Linked DNA regions of Arabidopsis thaliana. The protein of the gene in region 2 interacts with the protein of the main gene of each other region in a biochemical or structural test. Each region holds a gene or a part of one and is shown on either strand. Other genes may lie near its edges.

Region 1 (6,101 bases), 8.2 Mb from region 2:
GGAAAAAGAAAAGAAAATGTAGGTCTAAAAACCCTAATTTTATGAAATACTCCGATTCGTCTACTTGTGATTGATTAGCTTCCCTACCTTATTCCTCAAGCAATACATTGATTCATGTTTCTCTCTTTAGTATCTTTTGGAACAAAAACTTCTTCGTTTGATCTTCTCTGACTGATCTTGACGGTCTCATGTAGGCTTTGTGATTGGATTTTTAAAGTCTCTAGCTCATCAAGAGACTTCATAAAGCCTATTAAGCGGGAGGACCATTAACGTTAAGCCCAATAAAGTAAAACATTATCATATAGTTTAGTTTTATGAAATGACCAGGTGATCTATGTATGATTTGCAATGGTCTGATTGTTTAGTGACTGTTAATACTTAAAATTTCTTCAAAATCCTACGAATAAATCTGTGAATTGAAAATCACCTAATCCTACTGCTAAGCGTGATTAACAGTTTTTTTCTAATGAAAACGACAATGCAAACATTATTTAAGATGCGACGAATCATCAAGAACCCAGTTTCCAAATTTTGCGATGCTTATTACTATATTGTTTTATAATGACCCCTTCTGCTTTGCATTTGAACATCAATGCAACTATTTTTTTTGTAGCCGGGTTGGTCTCGACTAGTTACAGAGAAGGAATCATTAGGTTCAGGCCAAGTATTGAAACCTTAAACCAAAACACATAAAGTTGGTCCGATTTGATTAACATCTCAGTTGAACAAAACAGCACCTAAGAGTCTGATGAAACAGGATCATGAACCAGAACCATGTACCCCTAACTGATATGGAAAGGTCCTAAAAGCTACCACCAATATCTCAAAAGACAAACCAGCCTTACAAAAACCAAGACTCCTCGCTAAAACCCGCATTAGTTTACCATAGGCGATAGATAGATAGACAATGGGTTTTCTTTACTCTTAAGGCTTGGAGGCACAAGTCATAACATGCGACTTGAACTTCTCCAATTCTGCCACGACTTCTTCTTCTGGTCTGTAAATCAAGTCACTCATCCGCCATATCTGCCATAGAAGAAAGTATAAACAACATTTAACGGTATGTCAATAAAATTGCTTATCAAGGTACCAAGAAAGATTTCAAGGTTACCTGCAATGTTCCACCTCCACCAGTAGTCTCACAGTCATCAGAAACACTGACAATAGTCCAAGGGTCTGAAGCATTCCAGTGGAAATCAACAACTTTGTCCCTAATATGGTTTATAAACAAGGGAACTTAGAAGCAAGTAAAATGAGAAAGCAATCAAGAAAAATCAAGATAAGTCTTTAAGAACCTGTGACCAGCATGCTGGAAGAAGAGCCCAGCGGGGCTTTTAGCTGCACGATCAGACTTCTTACTGACCTGATGGTTAATTAAACAAACCAAACATGAGTACAATGAATATGTTTCAGTGATGATAGTGAAGAAAGATTAATTTTAGACATCTGAGTGAACTATGTACACACCCTGTCATAATCCCAGATGTTCAAGAGACCATCTTCTGCAGAGCTCCCAAAGACGGATGACTTATCAGGAGACCACTGAATTGAATAACAAGATAGTGTCAGTGGGTTAAGAGATATACTTCATACAAAGAAGGAAAAAAAAAAAAAAAGTTGATTATACCTGAACACAAAGAACAGCAGCTTTGTGTCCCTCAAATTTGTAAATAGGCGAACCAACTCCATTAGCGGTAAGCTTCCTACGATCAAACAACCGGACAGTGTTGTCTGCTGACCTGAAATATTCATCAATTTCTTAATTAGATACTAAGTATGTATTAATCATCTATTTGTATGTATTTCTCCATACCCTGTCAGGATCAGATTGTCGTCATGAGGATTCCAATCAACACAATGAAGATCAGCATCATGCGCTTTTTCAACCTGGAAAACAAAAAAGTAAGATATAATATCAAAAGGAGGTAAATCTTCAAACTTTTGATAGGATTCAAAAGATAGAGTACCTTCGTGACAGGGTTTGTGCCAGTTCTCGCATCCCATAGTATAAGGCAAGAATCATCACCAACACTGCAGAATTCTTGTGCACTTCACGGTATAAAAGTTCACCAGAAGTATTATTAGAAAATCATGAAAATATCTGCAGTATGCATAAACAAACACGATATCAATAGAAGGAGTCTGTTCTAAGAAGTTACCTCGTCGGGCTGAATGCCACATCTTCAACTGTATCTTCATGGCCATGATATACACCTCGTGGGCCAACAGTAGGACTCTCATTCTTATCAGTACCTTCACCAGTCTGTTTGATGATAGATCCAGATGATTTGGAATCTGTCCCAATCGTTGTGATGTGATCTTGGATACTCCACAAAACAACTGACTTGTCCTTGCCTAAGAGAAGAACTTTTGTATGAGAAACTGGCAAACCACAGGATTGGACTCTACAAATTACAGAAACACAAACCTCCGGAGAGCACAAAGGGTTCCGTTGGGCACATGGCAAGAGCAAATTCAGCATTATCTTGGTGCCCAGTTAGTATCTGCATGAAAAATGGTTCATTCAGATGATGCAAACAAGAAGCACTATTTAAGAAGATATCAAAGAGATTTATCACTTCCAATGATGAGAAACAAACAAGAATAAAGCATAAAACAACATTCTCAGAAGTGGACATACCAAATCTGGACGGGAATTTGCAGCTCCAAGCACAGCATGACGGTTTGGTTGGGTTTCAACATCCCAAATGAGAACCTGAAATCAACATATTGTATTTAGATAACTCTGAAACTGGACATATGTCCGAACAAAGGATGCTCTTTGACTGCCAAATACAGAAATATGAAACCGACATATTTCAAGTTGCTATGACCATAACAAAATAGAAGCAGCACTCACATCAGGACTGTCGGTGTGAGTAGCAACAATCTTACTATTCTGTGGGAGTTCCCTGATTCTGTTAACCTGCAATTGCAAATTAGTAATGAATACACATCAAAATTTACTTTCACCAACGTGCCAAACGAATAACTTCATGGACAGATGAAACAGGGATGCAGATACAATTAACAAACCAAATAGAACTAAAAAGAACAATGTCAATACAGAAATATCTCAAGAGTGGGCAGAATTCACACCTCTCCAGGGTGAATGATGGTCTTGTACTTCTTCACAAATGGAGAACGTGCTTCTTCATTGAACTGAGAACACATTTTCAGAAGATAGTATATAAGTGTCAAACATGAAACCAATTGTAGTGTGGAGTAGGATATGGAAAGGACACAAGCTTAGTATTAAACCACATAATACCTGAGAAATGTGCTCTGCTGCAGCAACCCTTGGCTTAACAACTTCACAATTTGCTATGACCAAAGTATTGGGCACACTTCCATCAGTCTGGTGACACAACCAAGAAAAATACAAATAATACGATGAGAAGTATATAAAGAAGATGAGACAACAAGATACAAGAGAAAGCTAAAAACTTACTTGCTCTGAGAGGTACAGACGCTGGCGATTCTTGTAGGTTGCTTGCTCAAGCTGCGGACCCCATCTATAAAAAAATCAAACAACAATTCACCAAATGGAAACTCTTAGCACAACAACTAAAGACTTCATCAGATATAAACACTCAGAGAAACTGAAAATTCCTCTTAGTCATTAGTAACCAACAAGGTAATCAATAGTAACAATTCATGAATAGAACATCAGATATATCAAGGTATGAAGACAGAGCCACATCCAAAACCCTAACTAGAACAATCGCAACAATCTCACTTAAACCCAGAAATCGAGAAAATGTATGTGTAAGATTTTACTAAATTCATTCCAAACATGAGAATGTTCAAAGCTAAGAAACGATTACGAAACGAAACCCTAGAAGGAGAGGAAAGGAGAAAGGGGGAGACCTGCAAGAGAGTGAAGGCCAGACGAGGTTATGGTTAGCGAGCCAGTCGTAGAGAATGGGGACGAGACCTTTCCACTGAGAGTACTTCTCGTCAACACTCGGCGACTGCTGCGTTTTCTTCCCACTTTCTTTCATTTTAACATCGCTCTGTTGCTGAGACGACGGCGTCTGAGAATCTTCCTTGGTTTTAGGTTTCCGACCTCTCTTCTTCGGCCCAGAAGCTCCGGTTCCTCCGCTCGGTGTCGTTGCTTGAGGAGACACTGCTGCTGCTTCGTCGCTCTCCATTTTCCTCTCTCTCTTTTTAATTTTTCTTTTTTGGTCTTTGCTTTCAGTGTCTCTATATCTCTCTCTCTTCTGCTTTACAAATACAAACAAAACAACCACCGTTTACCATTTTTACTTTGGACATAATACCTGAATCCGAAAAAACCGATCTGAACCCGATCCAAAAATCCCAATCCAAAAATCCCAATCTAAATTCGAACCTGAAATTTTCAAATATCCGACTGAATCTAAACTTCAAAACCTGAAAAACCCGAACCCGAACTGGTACCCAAACATATCTTAAATATAAATATAACTAAAATATTTATATTTATATTTACATATAGACAATATTATGATTTTTCGGATATTTTAGTTACTTTTATGTATTTTTAAATATATTCAAGCAAAACTACTCGGGTTGTTTAGGGAATTTTTGAAATTTTCAAATAATTTAATAGATTCGGACACAAAATTTTGATATTTCAATATATAACTAAACCCGAAACCGAACCAAACCCGACCCGGAATCTTGAATTACTCGAACGGATCTTAAAATTCTAAACCCGAAAAACTCAAACCCAAAATACCCGACCGAATATCCAAACACCCATAATTATTATTTTTTAATTCAGTAAAATAAATACTTTATTGAATAATAATAAAAATTACGGATGAAATAATTAACAGTATAAATTAATTAATATAAGCGTCTCTTACATGGATTACTAACTTTATAATTCATATCCAAACTTGTTGTTCTTTCTTGTAGCTTCTTCTGAAAAAAAAAAAAAGAATAGATCCTCGTTGCATTTTGAAAAGTGATTTAAGAAGATTTCAATGTTTGTTTAATACTTGAACAATAAAGTCCAATATTGTTCAGAAGTATATGACTAAGCTTAGACTTGAACCCTAAGTTTGTTCTTGGTGTCTAAACTTAAAACATTCATTTCATTTGTTCTCTGCTGGCTAAACCTATAAAATTTACCTTTCATTTTATCTTCTTTATTTAAAACATAAAATTGTACTATTTCATATCCCTCTTTGTTCTATGTGAAAAGCTCAATTTTCACTCATGGATTCGACACCAAATAACTTTCTTTGGGACATTGAAAGCCTTAAAATATCTCGAGGTTATGATTTACATGTAGTTGTTCCAAGCTTGAGGCTTTTTCTCAATCCAGCATGGATTAATCTGATGAATATGGTAAATCCGAAAAAAACCTAAACGTCTGTTCGCTCTATTTAATATCTTAATTTTTTTTATTATGATTATAGTTTAGAACTTAAAAGTTATGTATAATCATGTCATTTTAAAATTTCGCTTCAAATCTCTATAATTCTTGGCATTGCACTTCTTATATCACTAGTTTTGACTATTAAGAAACGTTTTGTGCATAAAAATTCAGATTTTTTATGATCAACAAATTAAATAGTGTTAGAAATTTTGTTGTGATTATGAATTTTTTAAAATTCTAACACAATTTATTTGGTAGAGGTGCAAAATAGGTATTAAACAAAAATTTTAGATCTGCACAACATATATGTATACAAATATGTATATGAACTATGCAAATAAAAGAAAAAAAAAACTATTACTAAGATTACTAGGGAAAAATATTGACTCAAATCATCTAATTTATGTTTCTCATCTTACTAATATTAATGTTGATAGTATAGTGGTGTTTCATATATTCTCTAATTGCATATTACATATACATATTTGTATATTTACACCTATTTTCCTATTAACTTAATAAATAAATATTATTTTTTTTGGGACGAAATAAATTGTATTATTATCGTCATAAAACTGATAGGTACAATGAAATTAGTAACGCTAATGAATTTGTCGTCCAAAAATTAAAGATTTGAATTTTTTATACACAAAGTTTTTCGTGGTAGTTAGAGACATGTGATACAAGCATTTAAGATATTATGCATGTAAGGCAAACATGATTTTTAATC
Region 2 (7,675 bases):
CTAGCTTTTAGCCAATCTTTAGAGGATAACATATTATGATGCTTTCTGTTCATTTGTCCAAGAGAAAATGAGGATATTTTAATCAATCGCCTGAAGTAACATAGGAGTAAATGAATAGCAAGATCATGCTTTCGGAAAGGTGCAGAAGATAACACTTAGAACGGTAACAAATTAACGGCATGACTGAGCAATGGACCGATTAAAGAAATTCGAAAGAACTCTCTCATGGTAAGTACAATCACCAAGAAGAGTGAAGGAGAAAAAGGCATTAAAAGACTTACAAATCAGGGTTTGCATCAATCTTGTTGAAAAAATCTCCACTAGTAGGATATAAAGAGCTCATTAATCTGTTCAAAACAACGTCCGTGTCCACGTCGAAGTATTGGGTATATGAGTAGACATTAAAAAAGCCCTTCCAGTTGTTTGATGGCTGTTGTGCTGGTCCTTCTACTGGAGCAGATAAGATATATCACCATATAAGACAGAACAAGGTGAAAACAAAGGTATATAGGATCTTGACATCCATAAGAAAAACGAGGTTGACTCACACAAGTATTCTTTCAACCATTGTACTGATTCATGGTGACTACAGATAAAAATATCTCCTAAAAAAGGAATCTAAAAGGAGCATATATACCTGTTGGGCTCTCAAGAGTTTGATAACCCTTTGTATTGTTTCCTAGATTCGGTGGAAATATTTGCATGCTTGCAGAAGGGCCTGCAATAATGCAGAAGACATACAACACTCAATGTCTTTCACTACCGGAAAAGTTCTTTGCAAAAGATAATTCAAGCAGAAACTAGCAAAAGAACACACCTTCATTGACGCTTGCTATTGGTACATTTGTGCTTCTCTTGTCGTCGCTGATCACAGCCTAAGAATACAGATGTTTGTATCAGACATAATAACACGGGGATAGTCAATCCATTCACTCAAAACATTTATCTTAGCGGATTCAATCCAAAATGAAGCTATCATGCAAGCATTTAAACTCAAATACAGTTTTGTTTTTCATACGAATTGTCTCCTAAAATGGTGAAAAAACTTAAATAAAACGCCTTAACAAATATAGAAACCCAGAAATGCAAATAAGGAAATCGTCCATTGTTCTATGAGTGTGAAGACTTTAGGCATCATCGTGGACGCGAAAAAATATGACAAAAAAATCTGAAAAGTTTCAAAATTCTACTTCCTAATGTAACACTTGAGACAGAACAACAAACAAAATGATGGCATGAACAAAAAACGTTAATTTTCCCTTCACACAAACAAGGATCATAGAAAAACTCAATCAAAGAGCTTATTGATGGTGAAATGAAAGAAGCAATAGATGTAATATAGACTTACCGGAACTGAACCAAGCAAATGGCTTGATTGTAGATTAGCGAACGACTCATCCATCGATCAAAGAGAAAAAGATATCAAAGAAAAACTTAGAAGATAGGTTCTTCTAATCTCATTCAAAAATCGATAAGATCGGAAAAAAGGTCGTCCCTTTTTCTGAATTTTTAAGGTTTCTGGGTTTGCTTCTCCTCCTCCGTCGTCGTGGAAGCAATTGGGAAAGGAAGAGAAACTAAAGAAAGAACGATCCACGCGCTTTCTTAGCAAGTCGGTAAAACACGCGCTGTTCACTTTCGGACACGTGATTTGCCGACTTGGGCCCAGACAATCACAAGATTCACACAAGACTTCAAAAACAAAGGCCCATATTTAAATTTTGACCCGAATCGTGATTTGCCGACTTGGGCCCAGACAATCACAAGATTCACACAAGACTTCAAAAAGAAAGGCCCATATTTAAAATTTGACCCGAATTAAACAATCCGACTTGACCCGTTTGAGGAGAAATTCACTCAACAGTGTTTCCTCTCTTCGTCTTCCCTCCCGAGAAAGCTCAACGGAGCCCTAGACTGGTTTTATCACTCTCGCCAACACCAACCACGCTTTTTCTCTCTTTACCTCCATTTTTGTATTCGTCACCGGAGTAGATGGATACGAGAGAAATCAACGGTTTTGCCTCCGCCGCGAGATCGATATCTCTTCCTACGCAGCCTAATTACAGTAGCAAGCCTGTTCAGGTTCTTCCGCTTTATACCTTTTTATTTCTCCACTGAATTAGTTTAGCTCAGGTCTTAGGATTTCTAGGTTCAGCTTAAAAAAATGGGTTTTGCAGAGCTTAGAGTTAATTTCGAATTTATTGTTTGTAACTTACAGGAGGCGTTGAAACATTTGGCATCTATAAACCTCAGAGAATTATGTAATGAGGCAAAAGTTGAGCGATGTCGTGCAACAAGAGACTTAGCTAGCTGTGGAAGATTTGTGAACTATGTGTTGAATCCATGTGGTCATGCCTCCTTGTGCACAGAGTGTTGTCAGAGGTGTGATGTTTGTCCTATCTGTAGAAGTACGCTACCAAAATTTGGAGATAGACTTAGGCTTCGTCTCTATTATGAGTGTGTTGAAGCTGGTTTGATTTCCCGAACACATGAAGAGGCGTCACAGGATTCGGATGAGGATGAACATCAATTGGCAGCTGATGTTCATCGCCTTTATTCTCTGTTTGATGTTGCTATGAACAATAATTTGATCTCGGTGGTTTGCCATTGTATCCTTCAGTTGCATTTATGCTTGGTGTCTGATATATGCATTTAGTCTTTTAGTTTCCTGTTTGATACTTTCATGAATTTCTTTTAGATTCGTATGCTTGTGCTATTAGGAACTGTGTTTATATGGGGAGTTTTGTACTGATAGGTTCATGTATTTTTAGGTAGTTCTTGTTTCATGCTTGTCTCTGTTGGGCGAAATGTGCATAGTGTTTTTGTCATTCATTCTCTAAGAGGTATTTTATGTTGGATGCATAGTTGACATCTCCTTGACAGAAAATTAATAGATATCACCAATGTCTGTATGGATGAGACAGCTGTATCTAGTGATCCGGTCATTGCTTTCTTGCTGGATGAAGTTGTTGTCAAGGATTGGGTCAAGCGTACATTCCGGAGCACCTTAGCTGAACTTCAAGAAATCTGTATCCTTTTAGCTGTTAATATTTTTATGTTTCTTAAGACTGTATATTTGTGCACCGTAAGGTCTGTCTATCTTTAATATTGGCCCTCAGATAATCTTGAAACAAAAGAGATGCAAGCGTGGTTAGATAAACTCCTAAGGTGTTCCAAACAGGTGGCTGGCATATGTAGTGTGCTCGAAGTTATGGAATCAGCTTTTAAGGGTTCTGTGTCACCTCAGCTTCAAGATGTGCAGACGCTGAGAGAGAACATTGGTAAAACAAAGCAGGTCAGCCATGATTTCATTTCATTGATATCCAAACAGTTTTGCAAAAGTATGCTTAAATAACTCTCTTTATCCCCCTTAGAAATATCCGTTGTACATTGAAGTTTCCTACGTGCATTAATGTTTAGTTTGCCTCTGTCATAGAATGAGTTACTTGTTTTGTATACGGCTTGCAGTAAAGTTTGTACTGTAAAAGCTTTGCATTTAGATGTATGAAAGGCACGATAATGGTCTTCCATCATCAGCTTGGATCTGATTTTCTATCCCTAGCTTTGTGACTTTATTCTTCTTTTCTTTTTTAATGTCATTGCATATTAGTGAATGTAGATGGGGTATATGTAACCTATCTTTATATGACATACTGAATAGTAAATGAGTATAACCTTATGGCTTCTGACCAGAGAGTGTTTTAAATAGATCAGCTCTTTAGCTATTGGTGCAAGATCACTGAGCTTACGTGTGCTTACCCTATTCTTTTTATTTTATTTCAGCATTTGGACATAATGGTCTGGTGCATCAGACATGGATTTCTGGATGATGTGAGGTCTCGATATTCGAATTTCACATCGTGGAATGCACTGGTAGGGGAAAGAAAATCAAATGCAGTTAAGCGTGCATGGCCTGATGCTGTAGACCAGTCTTCAGATTGCAGTGTACAGAGTGCTTCCCTCTTTATTGAGGATGCTTTAGAAAATCTTGAGAGAGAGCCAGAATACAGTCAGGAAATAGGTGCCGACCTAGAAGTTGGACGTTTACAGAAGGATAAGAGATCATTTCTTAGGTCCAAAATAGAGGGAACTTCAGGATCTTATCCATTTGAGAATCTTAGAACTGCTGCTGACATGCTCTTTTTACATGGCGGTTCAGATTTGGTTGTTGCGAAGCAAGCAATTGTATCCTTTTGTCATCGCCTAGTTTCACATTACATTGCACTTTACTTTTAATGAATACTTGAATCAGGAAACATTCCCATGTTTTTCCTTTACGCTGGTTTCCTTAACCAGAAGATAGTTTCTTTACTACCTGTTTGATCGGCATTGGACTACCCCTGAAAAATATTGGAAGCACACTATAGATGATTTTGCTGCTACGTTTGGCATAACGAGGCATTCATTGCTGGAGTCTTTTGTATTTTATCTTCTCGATGATCACTCAGAGGAGGCACTCCAGGTATCTTTTGGCATTCCCAAGGAAAACTTATAGAAACGTGTATTTTATTGTGCCATACATTTATTAATTGGTGTAGCTTACAAACTTTCCAAATTATATTTCAGGAAGCTTGTAGGATTCTACCTGAAATATGCGGTCCAGAAACCTACCCCAAAGTTGCGCAAGTCCTGTTAGAAAGGGATAACCCTGAAACAGCTCTTATGGTCTTGCGTTGGTCTGGTCGTGATGGTGTATCAGAATTGGTTTCAATTGGTGAAGCTGTCACAGCTCTTCGTGTGAGAGTGGAATGTGGTCTTTTGAGTGAAGCATTCACATACCAAAGGACACTCTGCTTGAAAGTAAAGGAAAATAATTTGAAAAATGGAGCTGTGAAACATGCGTCTGATGATCTAGACATCTGGAGTTGGACGGAATGGATGGAGATACTTGTCAATGAATTCTGCTGTCTTTCTATTCGGAGAAACTTGGTTGATCGAATCATTGAGTTACCGTGGAACCCAGATGAGGAGAAATATCTGCACAGATGCTTATTAGATTCGGCAACTGATGACCCCTCATCAGCTGTGGGTAGTCTCTTGGTTGTCTTTTATCTTCAGGTAAGTAATTATATTTTCAAACTTTAAATAACTTCACTTGAACAATGGGCTGAGAATTGTTTTTCAGAACGAGAATAGCTTTAGCAACAGGCAAATAGATATTTAGACAGCAGCTTAAACCTCCCGAGCTTTAAGCTACATATTGAAAATTTTAATAAGGGATCTCAATGATGGCTCTGTATAGAATTAGCTCATTCTATAGAGACTGGTATATGTTCTCGTATTTGATGTGTGGCTTCAACAATCTTTTATAATTCGAGCTTGGTGTAGTCTGGGATGTTGGTTAACAAGCATGAAATTATTTGAACAACCAGGGAAACTGCATCACTATAGACCATGCTTATTTTCTGGAAAGTTATTATCTTTTGTATATGGTCTTTCTTTGACTAGAAATTACTGGTTGTTCACATTGCTGCAGCGCTACCGTTACATCCAGGCATACCAAGTCGATCTTAGGCTTCAGAAAATCGAAGAGGCTTTCGTATCCGACAATCAAATTGGGGAAGAAGTTATGTTCAGAATGCGATCACAGAGTCATTGGAGAAAAGAGTTAGTTGTAAGTATTTCAGCCAACTTTCCATGTACAAGTGGATCCTTCCATAGTTCCTTGTTAAAGGCTACATCCTCACATTTGCGTTTTAGTGCTTAATAACCTGTTGATGCTTGCAGGATTGTCTAGTATTCTGAAACTTGAATGTACAATATTACTTGATACTGGCTTTTTTTAACTGGACATTTAAACCTCCCGTGTCTCTGCTCCTTTGAAACAGGATAGAGCCATAGATATACTTCCAGTAATTCAGCAGCAGCAAGTTAGATCTGGACAATTTTCTGAGATGGAAGATGCCTCTGAAGGAGCAAAAAAATCTGATCTTCCTGATGCACCTGACATGATTACTTCTTCAGTTCCCTTTGCCACTACTAATTCCGTTTTTCTCCAAAGTGCTAACAATGCCAGAGCTAGAGAGCCAGTGGCTAATAATGGCAGTCCTTTTCAACCTGGTCATATGATAGGAAACGCGTCCCATGATCTTTCACATGGAAGGTTATTTACAAACGCAAATAGAGGACAAAAGAGTGAAGTTAGAAGCGTAACCAAGAATCTGAAATTCGGTGAAATGTCAACTCCGTTCAAAGATCTAAATAGAGCTCGTGGGAACAGCCAGCTCCAAGGGAAAAGGACTGAAGAATCCTCTCCAGAAGTAAATGTTGATAGATACATAGAGAATAATATGAGCTCTCCTTATCTCCGCCGAATCACAGCTAACAATCCCGTGACAGTGAAATCTAGCAGCAACCATCTCAATGGATCTTCACAGAAACCGGAATCCACCTTTTTTGGCACAAGGATGCAACCAGACAAAGATAACTTTGTTGATTTGGATGATCCAATGGACATGTCTTCGAGGTATTCCTCTCTTCTTTATCTCTTAGCCATTTGTTCCTTTCTGAATCGTGCCATTAAAGTAGAGGACACTGGTATTGTTTGGTATAAAACTATTGTTACCGTTTGGTTTGAAAATAAAGTCCAGTTTGGTTTCAGTCTAAGGAACTTTGTTTGGTTCTTATGTCCACGGCTTTTAGTCTTATATTGGATGAGCTACATATCAATTGTGTGTATTATGAATTGCAGCTTAAAGGACAACAACAACAATGTCTTGGCCACGGAGAGCAGAAATAACAGTGGTGGATTGAGATGGCGGTCAGATGAAACAAGCGATGACGAAGATGAACTGACTAGTTTTGGTTCCATGCCGGTGAAGGGAAGGAGGAGACGTAGATTCGCAGCAAGATGAAATGAAACAAACACTCGAAAAGACCATCATCAATTATGTTTAAAGCATAGAGAAAGAGAGAGAGAGGTAGAGCAAGTTGTGTAAAGAGGGGAGAGAGACTGTTACAGTGAGCGTTGTTCTCCTGTTATTTTTTGTGCTGAATTTTGTGTATTTCTTCTCTAGTCTACCTTTTTTGGACAGTTATTTTAAAGATATCATTGTGATGAGCGGAGTGATATTATTATTATGAGTATGTTTAATTTCTTATATTGGTGCAGCTGATTGTTGAATCGTAGAAGTTATAACAACACATTGAGATTAAATCATTTTCTTTTTACATTCACAATTTCCTCTCAAAATTTTAATTTTTAACTTTTTTATTATTTACCAAAACTAATAAATGGAAATAAGTAGCATAAGCTTGTTCCAAGTTTCTGATATATAAATAGGGTTTTCGGAAGAGAGAATAGGGTCTCTTCCTATCGTTCCGTCACTTTTTGTTCCGATTTGTCGACAAGGTAAACCTTAAAACTAAATCTTTCAATATAGCATAACCAATGATCCGAAAACCTAAATCTTTCATTCTCTGTTTCTGCCTTGGATCTGTATTGAAATTCATAATCTCATATTAGGTTTTCGTGTTACTTAATTCCGCAGGTGTTTGTTGGATCCATATCATGGCGACTCGTGAGTTTCCCTTAAGCTTTAGCTTTTTATACGATGCTTTCTTTTCAAGTTGCTTACAGGATTGTTCTTTTTTTTTCTGTTCTTGTTTTTGGCAGGTCTTCAATATGATAACAATAATTGCGAAATTGGTGTCTTTTCCAAACTCACAAATGCTTATT
Region 3 (6,565 bases), on a different chromosome or scaffold from region 2:
TTCAAATTCTCTTAGAAAACAAACATATGATTAAATAAAATGTGGTTGATTTACAAAAATTCAGCTAGTTCATAATCGAAATTAACCGATAGCCCCTCTATCTACCTAAAATCAGAAAGAATTAATCTGAATCGAAGCGATTATTCGAAAGTTCTTATTTAATAGAGCTGGACTAATATTCTTAGCCGAACAGTGCCAAAATTTTGGTAATTAGATTTGGTTCAAAATACCGACAAAACTGTTTTGTTTGGTTTTGGAAGATTGAACATATCCGTATTTAGAAGCTCTTTTAGTTTTTCATAAATTTCTAAATATTCTTAAATTCTTCTACTTTTTTCTTTTTTGTAAATCAAATTTCCTAGCCGTATCAAACTGTGTCAAATATACTGAAATTGATTGAAATATACCAAAACCAAAAAGAATATACCGGAATTATTGGAAAATGAGGATTTTGGACACCGAGAAATGAACAAGAAATTTGTTTTTGGTTTGGTTCGACATCAATAATTTTAAGATAAACCAAACCGAACTATAAATTTGGTTAAAGTAGGAATTCGTTTATCCAAACCGATTGCCTAGCTTAAGAGGTCTGATGAGGATGGTTGGTAAGCAGGTTAAAAGGGTTCTTTCTATAAAACCCTACCAAATGTAAGTGATAAAGATTGTTCAGAGCTCCCTAATTGCAATAAATTCCCCCAGATCAGTTAGGGTTACAAGTAAGTGTAGACAATTCCTACGACGGATTAGGAAGAATGCTTTCTAAAATCACTTTGATCTTGAAATCATACGAGCCGAGAGAAAGTTGTACAAAAGCTTCTTTCGTCCCCATTTCCACCATGTCGGAACCCGAACAACCTTCCTTTTCATCTGATTTTCTGTAAAACCAGTGAGATTTTATTAGGAGAAAGAAGGATGAAGAATGAAATAGTTTTTTTTTTGGGAAGCATCACTCACTTTTGTTTTCGATCAGACGTGCTTCCAACTCTGAGAGTAATTTGGAGTAGCTGATAGCAAGTGATGGCCAGAACTCCAGTTGGATATTCAGTACATCAAGAACAGTTTGCAGGCCGGCTACTGAAGGCGTGGTGGCGATGGGCAACTCGTTCTCCGGATTTTCACCCAGAAGCACCTTTATAGATTAAGCGGGATCATGAATCTCCATAACTATATGCAGATTTTAAAGGATATCAAGTTTGAAATAGAGACTAACCTTGATCACTGCTGTTGCAGAAGCAGATATGGAGCGAAGATTGTAGCTGCAAATGAAAACAGGAGATTATTCAAAAGCTGCTCCTTACAAACCAAGAGGCTACTCCAAAAAACTGCAAAACACATACCCGCCCTCGAGAATAACTAGCATTTTCCCACCACACAGATCACCCAACATCTGTGTCATTCGAGAATAGCCAGCCGGAGTCACCTGAAAAAAGGAGTAGAACAGAACATCTATCCTCTGTTGATATCCACAAAACAATACACTGATTCCAGAAGTGGTAAATTACAGCTCGAATATGAAGCTTACATCACAGCATCCTAGTGGGTCTCCTCTAGCCGCATCAAATCCCGCAGATATGATGACAAAATCTGGAGAAAATGCAGAAGCTGCAAGAGAAGGTTCCAGTTAAAATTAGACTGAGTGCACATTCAAAAGTGAGCTAAATGTATTTGGTCCACTTCCTGAGCATATTAGTCATCAATTAAGCCAAAACGTTTATCAAATGGGGAAAAGTAGAACGACTCTGTACCTATGGGGAGAACCACATGTTGAAACGCAAAGATATAGTCTTTATCCCCAACTCCACCGCAACTCCATGGAACATTTACACAATAACCTTCCCCACCATTAGAACCAACCTGCACCCATAATTAACATTAGCAAACTATTGTTCTGCCGCCTAGAGAAAATTCAAATTTTGGAAACAAGGCAGAAATTAGAAAATAATCCCAAAATTTAAGACATAAATCATAATGCAAACCAAACACACAAATAAGGTATATGCATATATATACCAACAACTAAATCTACTCATGAATGCTGGATGAGACAATGTAAAACAGAAAAGCATAGGTACCTCATCAGCAGCTCCAGTACCGGGATAGAAGTTTCCTCCCTCATGTCTGTGCAAGGATATGTACAATACCTATGCAATGACTCCCAGTAATAAGTTCAAACAAGGTCAACTCACAAAAATAATTTACTGCATCCAACACTCCAAAATTGATGTGCAGACATGCATAGATTTGGGCAGCTTACAGATTTGTTTTGTTCGAATATCTCTTGGGTTCCGTTGCCATGATGGACATCCTGCAACGGTAGATATAACATTGATATGAGCCAAACCACACAATGCAGAGTACAACGAATTAAAAAAGTTTGAAGATCTACAAAATCACCCAGTTTAGAGTTATCAGTAACATTACCCAGTCCACAATCAGCACCTTCTTTGCCCCTGCTGCTTGTGCTACTAATGCAGCAACGGCTGCATTATTGTGAAGGCAAAACCCCATAGCATGCCTGACGCCAGCATGATGACCGGGAGGTCTAACCTGATACAATCAGAGATTTTTTTTTTTCAAACTAATATGGTGTAATTTCAATTTAAAGCAATTGTGTAGTTGCATCTTTAAATTTAAAAATTTTGGTGAATTAGACATACCAAAGCAAAACCATTTTTTACACGGCCAGTGAAAATATCTGTAGCTAGATCAGCGCACAAACCTGCTGCAAGTCTAGCAGCACGTGCTGAATACTCATTAGCATATGTGTCAGAGGTGAAGTAGCTGCCAGACAATGGTAAAAGAACGGGATCAAGAGCAAAAAGAGATAAATGAGGAGCAGCGAAGGTAAAGGAAATTTCAATTCAAGTTTGAACAGTCAGATTAACAAGCAAGGATATGCACGGTGAACGCAAAAAAAAAAGTAACAAATGGTTTAAAATTCAAACCTATAGAGAAGCTGGCTTGTAGTATCAACAGCATCAACATGCTCTGAAGTGTGGACCTCAAAATTGACATATACAAACCAGTTATGAAATTGCTTGTAAAAGTACTGCAATGAACATAATATTAGAATTGTCTCTAAGACAGTTATGTAGCAGCTCACCATCTGGAGTTCTTGTTTCGTGATTTCCCTTGCATTGATAGGCAAGCATCTTCCAGGAAAAACACCTGCAAAAAAATTCAAACGTGGTGAGTACCAAAATTACTCCCAACAGTATGATACTGTAAAATGAAACACATGATATGATATATGGGATCAAGTCTCAGAGAAGGTAGACAAGGACGCTAGAAGCTTCTTAATTGAAGAAGTTATGTTCTGATCTTTTCCTTTTAGAATTAGAATTTTATTATTTTCCTTTTTAGTTTTAACTTACCTCGGCTGCAAGAGATCTATATAATGATCTCCAAATCTTAATAATAATCAGCTTCCAAACATTAGTCTTCTTCTCAAGAGAGGCTAGGTTTAAAGGAAGTAAACGCAACATACCAGCTGTGGCAAGACTAGCAGCTATAGCTCGAAGACGATCAGGTCTCTCTGGATGTGGTTGTGCCTTCACTTCAAACTTTTTAAGCATGCCATCAGCACATATTAAATAGAAAAACTTGCACGAAGAAAAGCTTTGGAGATGATAATGTAGAGATGTCAACAGATACTAGAGGTTTCTCAGGAAAACATAACACATAACAGTAACAAGATCATACTTCTGAGTGTAGCAACATTCTCTCGTCGAACCCAACAGCTGTCGAGCTGGTTGCAGATGAGCTTCCTAATATCAAGTTAAAAGAAAAGTGAACATGCTTACAGTTACTTAAATAGCATGGAACTGAGACTAACAATATTTATAAAGACATTTTCAGAGGAAGCAAGGGAAGTAATTCCTACCTCCATATTTCTCCTCGACTTCAATGAGACCAGTGTCTTTAAAAAAGGGAGACGCTAAATATCCATGCCTCAAAATGCCAGATTCCTTGTGCTCACCGCATATCTACGTCAAGGAATCAACTTTACTAATACATAACCAATGTCCAATGCGCATTGCTCAGACGTACGTTTGTCACTTTGAAATCATAAAAAGTAGTAGCCAAGCAAGAAAAAGTAAATAAAAAACGTACACAACAGTGGACCATATCACCAGGGTTCGACATAGTGCAATTGACACAACACCATTTTACAAACTCCATAGGCGCCTGCACAGGTTCCCAATCACAATCATCATCCTCATCATCGTCATCATTGAGTAATGCATCAGCACCGTAAATATCTTCAAACGTCATTTCTCTAGAAACCCTAGCTCTTTTCTGCATAAGACACAACAATGACCAATATCACCAAAAGCAGAACCAACCAAATCTCTGACAATACATTAAAAGGAAGCCATGGTTTTTAGCTTACCGCTGAAACTCCAGGAGCTACATTTATATCTCCATTGCTACACTCTTCTCCCGAACAAGGAACAGCGATATCTCCACCGTTCACATGTCTTCTCTTTGAACCCTCACAAGACCTCTCGATAGTTTCTACAACCATTGTTACCTCAGTAGTCACTCAAAACTACTAACCAGCTGAAAATAAATCTCCGCTGTGCCAAAAGAGAAACAAAGAAAAACCCAATTTGAGAAATTTTAAAAATCAAAAAGTTTCATATACGAAGAGCTAAAATCAAAATCGAAGAAAATGTAAAGAACTCCACACACAGCTACAACAAATAACTTTACGAAGAACCCAACTTTTCTTCGAGTATTATCGAAATCGATCCTCGATCCAGAACTCAGGAATTGTTTTTTTTTCTCTATGGAAACTGAATAAAAATATCAACGACGGTCTCAAAATATCATACCTGAAGAAAACTTCCGGCGAAACGATGAACAGAGAAGGCTGCGTCCGTCGCGTTTAAAGGAGCGCGACGCTACGATAGCACAACAGAGCAGAAATGAGAGAAACGACGACGGCGACAACGAAGATGACGACGTTCAGACTTGAAAGAGTAAAAGATTATTTGGGCTGAAGATGAAGACCCAATAACACTATAAGCCCATTACCAAATTTGAGTCAAACTATTTATTTTTATTTCCTTTTGCTTGGAATTTTTCATTAATGTTCAAGTATTGAAAGAGCAAAGTACGACTGAATCTTACTTCACAAAGCCAATTTAGGTTTGTTGTCTTCTCGAAATGGATTACAAAAGTTACCATTTTTTAAAGGGAATGAGACTTTAGTTGTTATGTCATTGAATTTTTGTTTGGTAAATAACCTAACTGATAACTTCATAATATTTATAGTGAAAAATGTTTGAATCATCAGGTAATTAAACGTCACACTACAGATTGTAGAATGACTAATGGTTAAACTAACTGATAATGACCAGCTAACATAATCAAAATACGCCCAAGCGCATTAACACATGTGAGACTGATATTTGTTTCCCTTACCTTTTTCTTTTACCTTAACCTAATTCTAACTGTAAGTACTGAATCCAATTTCTTTGTTATATAATACATGTTTGTGTGCATGCATCTCCATATAGTACTCAAAAGCATCGTCTTTGTCTTTTCTCTAAGAATTTATTATTCATACATTAATATTAATTCTACAAACATGGGACTATGGGAGATAGTATTCCGTTATATATATAGTTCACAAGAAGAATATTGAGTGATATATTTCCATATATAACAACGACGACGACAACAAGAACACACCCACATAAAATGAGAGATGAACACCGAAATGTTAAAGATGTAAATATGTTGAGCTCTCTCTCCTTTTTATACCTCTATCATCATCTATACCTATACATGATAACATAAATATGTATGAAAAAATGTGTGTTGACTATCACTTGTGTGAACAAAGAAGCATAGTAATACATTTTCCAATAATGTAGAACCTTCCTTTCTTCTTTTTCAGAAACTCTCCAACTCCTTTTGGTGAAGAAGGCTTGTTCTTCTTCTTCTCCCAATTCTTCACTGCTTCCTCCTTTGTGTACTTCTCCCTCATTGTTTAAAGTGTGTTTATAAAACAAACTTTTTTGTTTTTCCTTATTATCAGGGATTCAGGGTGATTGTGTGATGATTGTGTGATGTTTAAATGGAAGTGAAGATTCATCATATTATATATATTGGAGTGAGAGAGAAAGAGATAAGGAGAAAGTATTCCCTACCATTGATTCGGGACCCTTCAACGAAACAACCCAAAAATAAAGGCCACTTTGTGAAGTGTGACCGACTAGCTTCCCATTATGGTTGAAAATATTTGATGTATTGTTTTCTTGTCTCCTTTCAGTTCAAAGATTCATCATCGGTAGAGATTGATTTATTCACTTTGATTATTGGAATATTATGTTAGAACATACGGTATTGCAGACCGTCCATATCTCATCTTAATTTCTTTGAATTTAAATTGAACATGCAAACTAACGTTATGGTTAACTGCTAAATAAATACATAAAATGCAAATTCCAAGGAGCTTTCGGGTTTGTTTTGAAATACATGTTTAAAAACTTCTGCATGACTATAAAAAATCACGAAACTAAGTGTTATATGCCTTGCCTTTAGAGAAATGCAC

What was found. Proteins that work in one complex are often made in the same cells at the same time.
Region 1: the proteins of HOS1 (region 2) and FVE form a complex in vitro, tested with the Arabidopsis thaliana proteins (one study listed by BioGRID).
Region 3: the proteins of HOS1 (region 2) and HDA15 form a complex in vitro, tested with the Arabidopsis thaliana proteins (one study listed by BioGRID).

Annotation. Positions count from the first base shown.
Region 1 is NC_003071.7:8,454,059-8,460,159, reverse strand, and holds FVE (Transducin family protein / WD-40 repeat family protein), read right to left. Parts: upstream 4,405-6,101; 5' UTR 4,155-4,404; coding exon 3,871-4,154; intron 3,516-3,870; coding exon 3,452-3,515; intron 3,359-3,451; coding exon 3,272-3,358; intron 3,163-3,271; coding exon 3,100-3,162; intron 2,927-3,099; coding exon 2,861-2,926; intron 2,717-2,860; coding exon 2,642-2,716; intron 2,505-2,641; coding exon 2,429-2,504; intron 2,356-2,428; coding exon 2,160-2,355; intron 2,050-2,159; coding exon 1,968-2,049; intron 1,888-1,967; coding exon 1,814-1,887; intron 1,740-1,813; coding exon 1,628-1,739; intron 1,543-1,627; coding exon 1,468-1,542; intron 1,364-1,467; coding exon 1,296-1,363; intron 1,212-1,295; coding exon 1,112-1,211; intron 1,027-1,111; coding exon 925-1,026; 3' UTR 518-924; downstream 1-517. UniProt on the Arabidopsis thaliana protein: Core histone-binding subunit that may target chromatin assembly factors, chromatin remodeling factors and histone deacetylases to their histone substrates in a manner that is regulated by nucleosomal DNA.
Region 2 is NC_003071.7:16,610,952-16,618,626, forward strand, and holds HOS1 (ubiquitin-protein ligase), read left to right. Parts: upstream 1-1,825; 5' UTR 1,826-1,989; coding exon 1,990-2,079; intron 2,080-2,215; coding exon 2,216-2,606; intron 2,607-2,891; coding exon 2,892-3,026; intron 3,027-3,116; coding exon 3,117-3,292; intron 3,293-3,780; coding exon 3,781-4,182; intron 4,183-4,300; coding exon 4,301-4,459; intron 4,460-4,563; coding exon 4,564-5,055; intron 5,056-5,473; coding exon 5,474-5,611; intron 5,612-5,825; coding exon 5,826-6,463; intron 6,464-6,688; coding exon 6,689-6,851; 3' UTR 6,852-7,171; downstream 7,172-7,675. Other genes in the region: AT2G39805 (Integral membrane Yip1 family protein), read right to left, coding at 282-450, 638-718, 818-875, 1,349-1,402; eIF6B (Translation initiation factor IF6), read left to right, coding at 7,508-7,517, 7,613-7,675. UniProt on the Arabidopsis thaliana protein: E3 ubiquitin-protein ligase that mediates ubiquitination and subsequent proteasomal degradation of the transcription factor ICE1. Acts as a negative regulator of cold signaling pathways.
Region 3 is NC_003074.8:6,359,568-6,366,132, reverse strand, and holds HDA15 (histone deacetylase 15), read right to left. Parts: upstream 4,958-6,565; 5' UTR 4,839-4,957; intron 4,581-4,838; 5' UTR 4,529-4,580; coding exon 4,394-4,528; intron 4,300-4,393; coding exon 4,114-4,299; intron 3,987-4,113; coding exon 3,884-3,986; intron 3,768-3,883; coding exon 3,703-3,767; intron 3,564-3,702; coding exon 3,488-3,563; intron 3,169-3,487; coding exon 3,104-3,168; intron 3,002-3,103; coding exon 2,946-3,001; intron 2,782-2,945; coding exon 2,658-2,781; intron 2,548-2,657; coding exon 2,422-2,547; intron 2,306-2,421; coding exon 2,255-2,305; intron 2,142-2,254; coding exon 2,073-2,141; intron 1,855-2,072; coding exon 1,746-1,854; intron 1,603-1,745; coding exon 1,523-1,602; intron 1,421-1,522; coding exon 1,338-1,420; coding exon of another isoform or gene 1,310-1,337; exon of another isoform or gene 1,257-1,309; coding exon 1,211-1,256; exon of another isoform or gene 1,130-1,210; coding exon 951-1,129; coding exon of another isoform or gene 947-950; exon of another isoform or gene 876-946; coding exon 734-875; 3' UTR 518-733; and 1 more. Other genes in the region: RTFL20 (ROTUNDIFOLIA like 20), read right to left, coding at 5,837-5,998. UniProt on the Arabidopsis thaliana protein: Responsible for the deacetylation of lysine residues on the N-terminal part of the core histones (H2A, H2B, H3 and H4).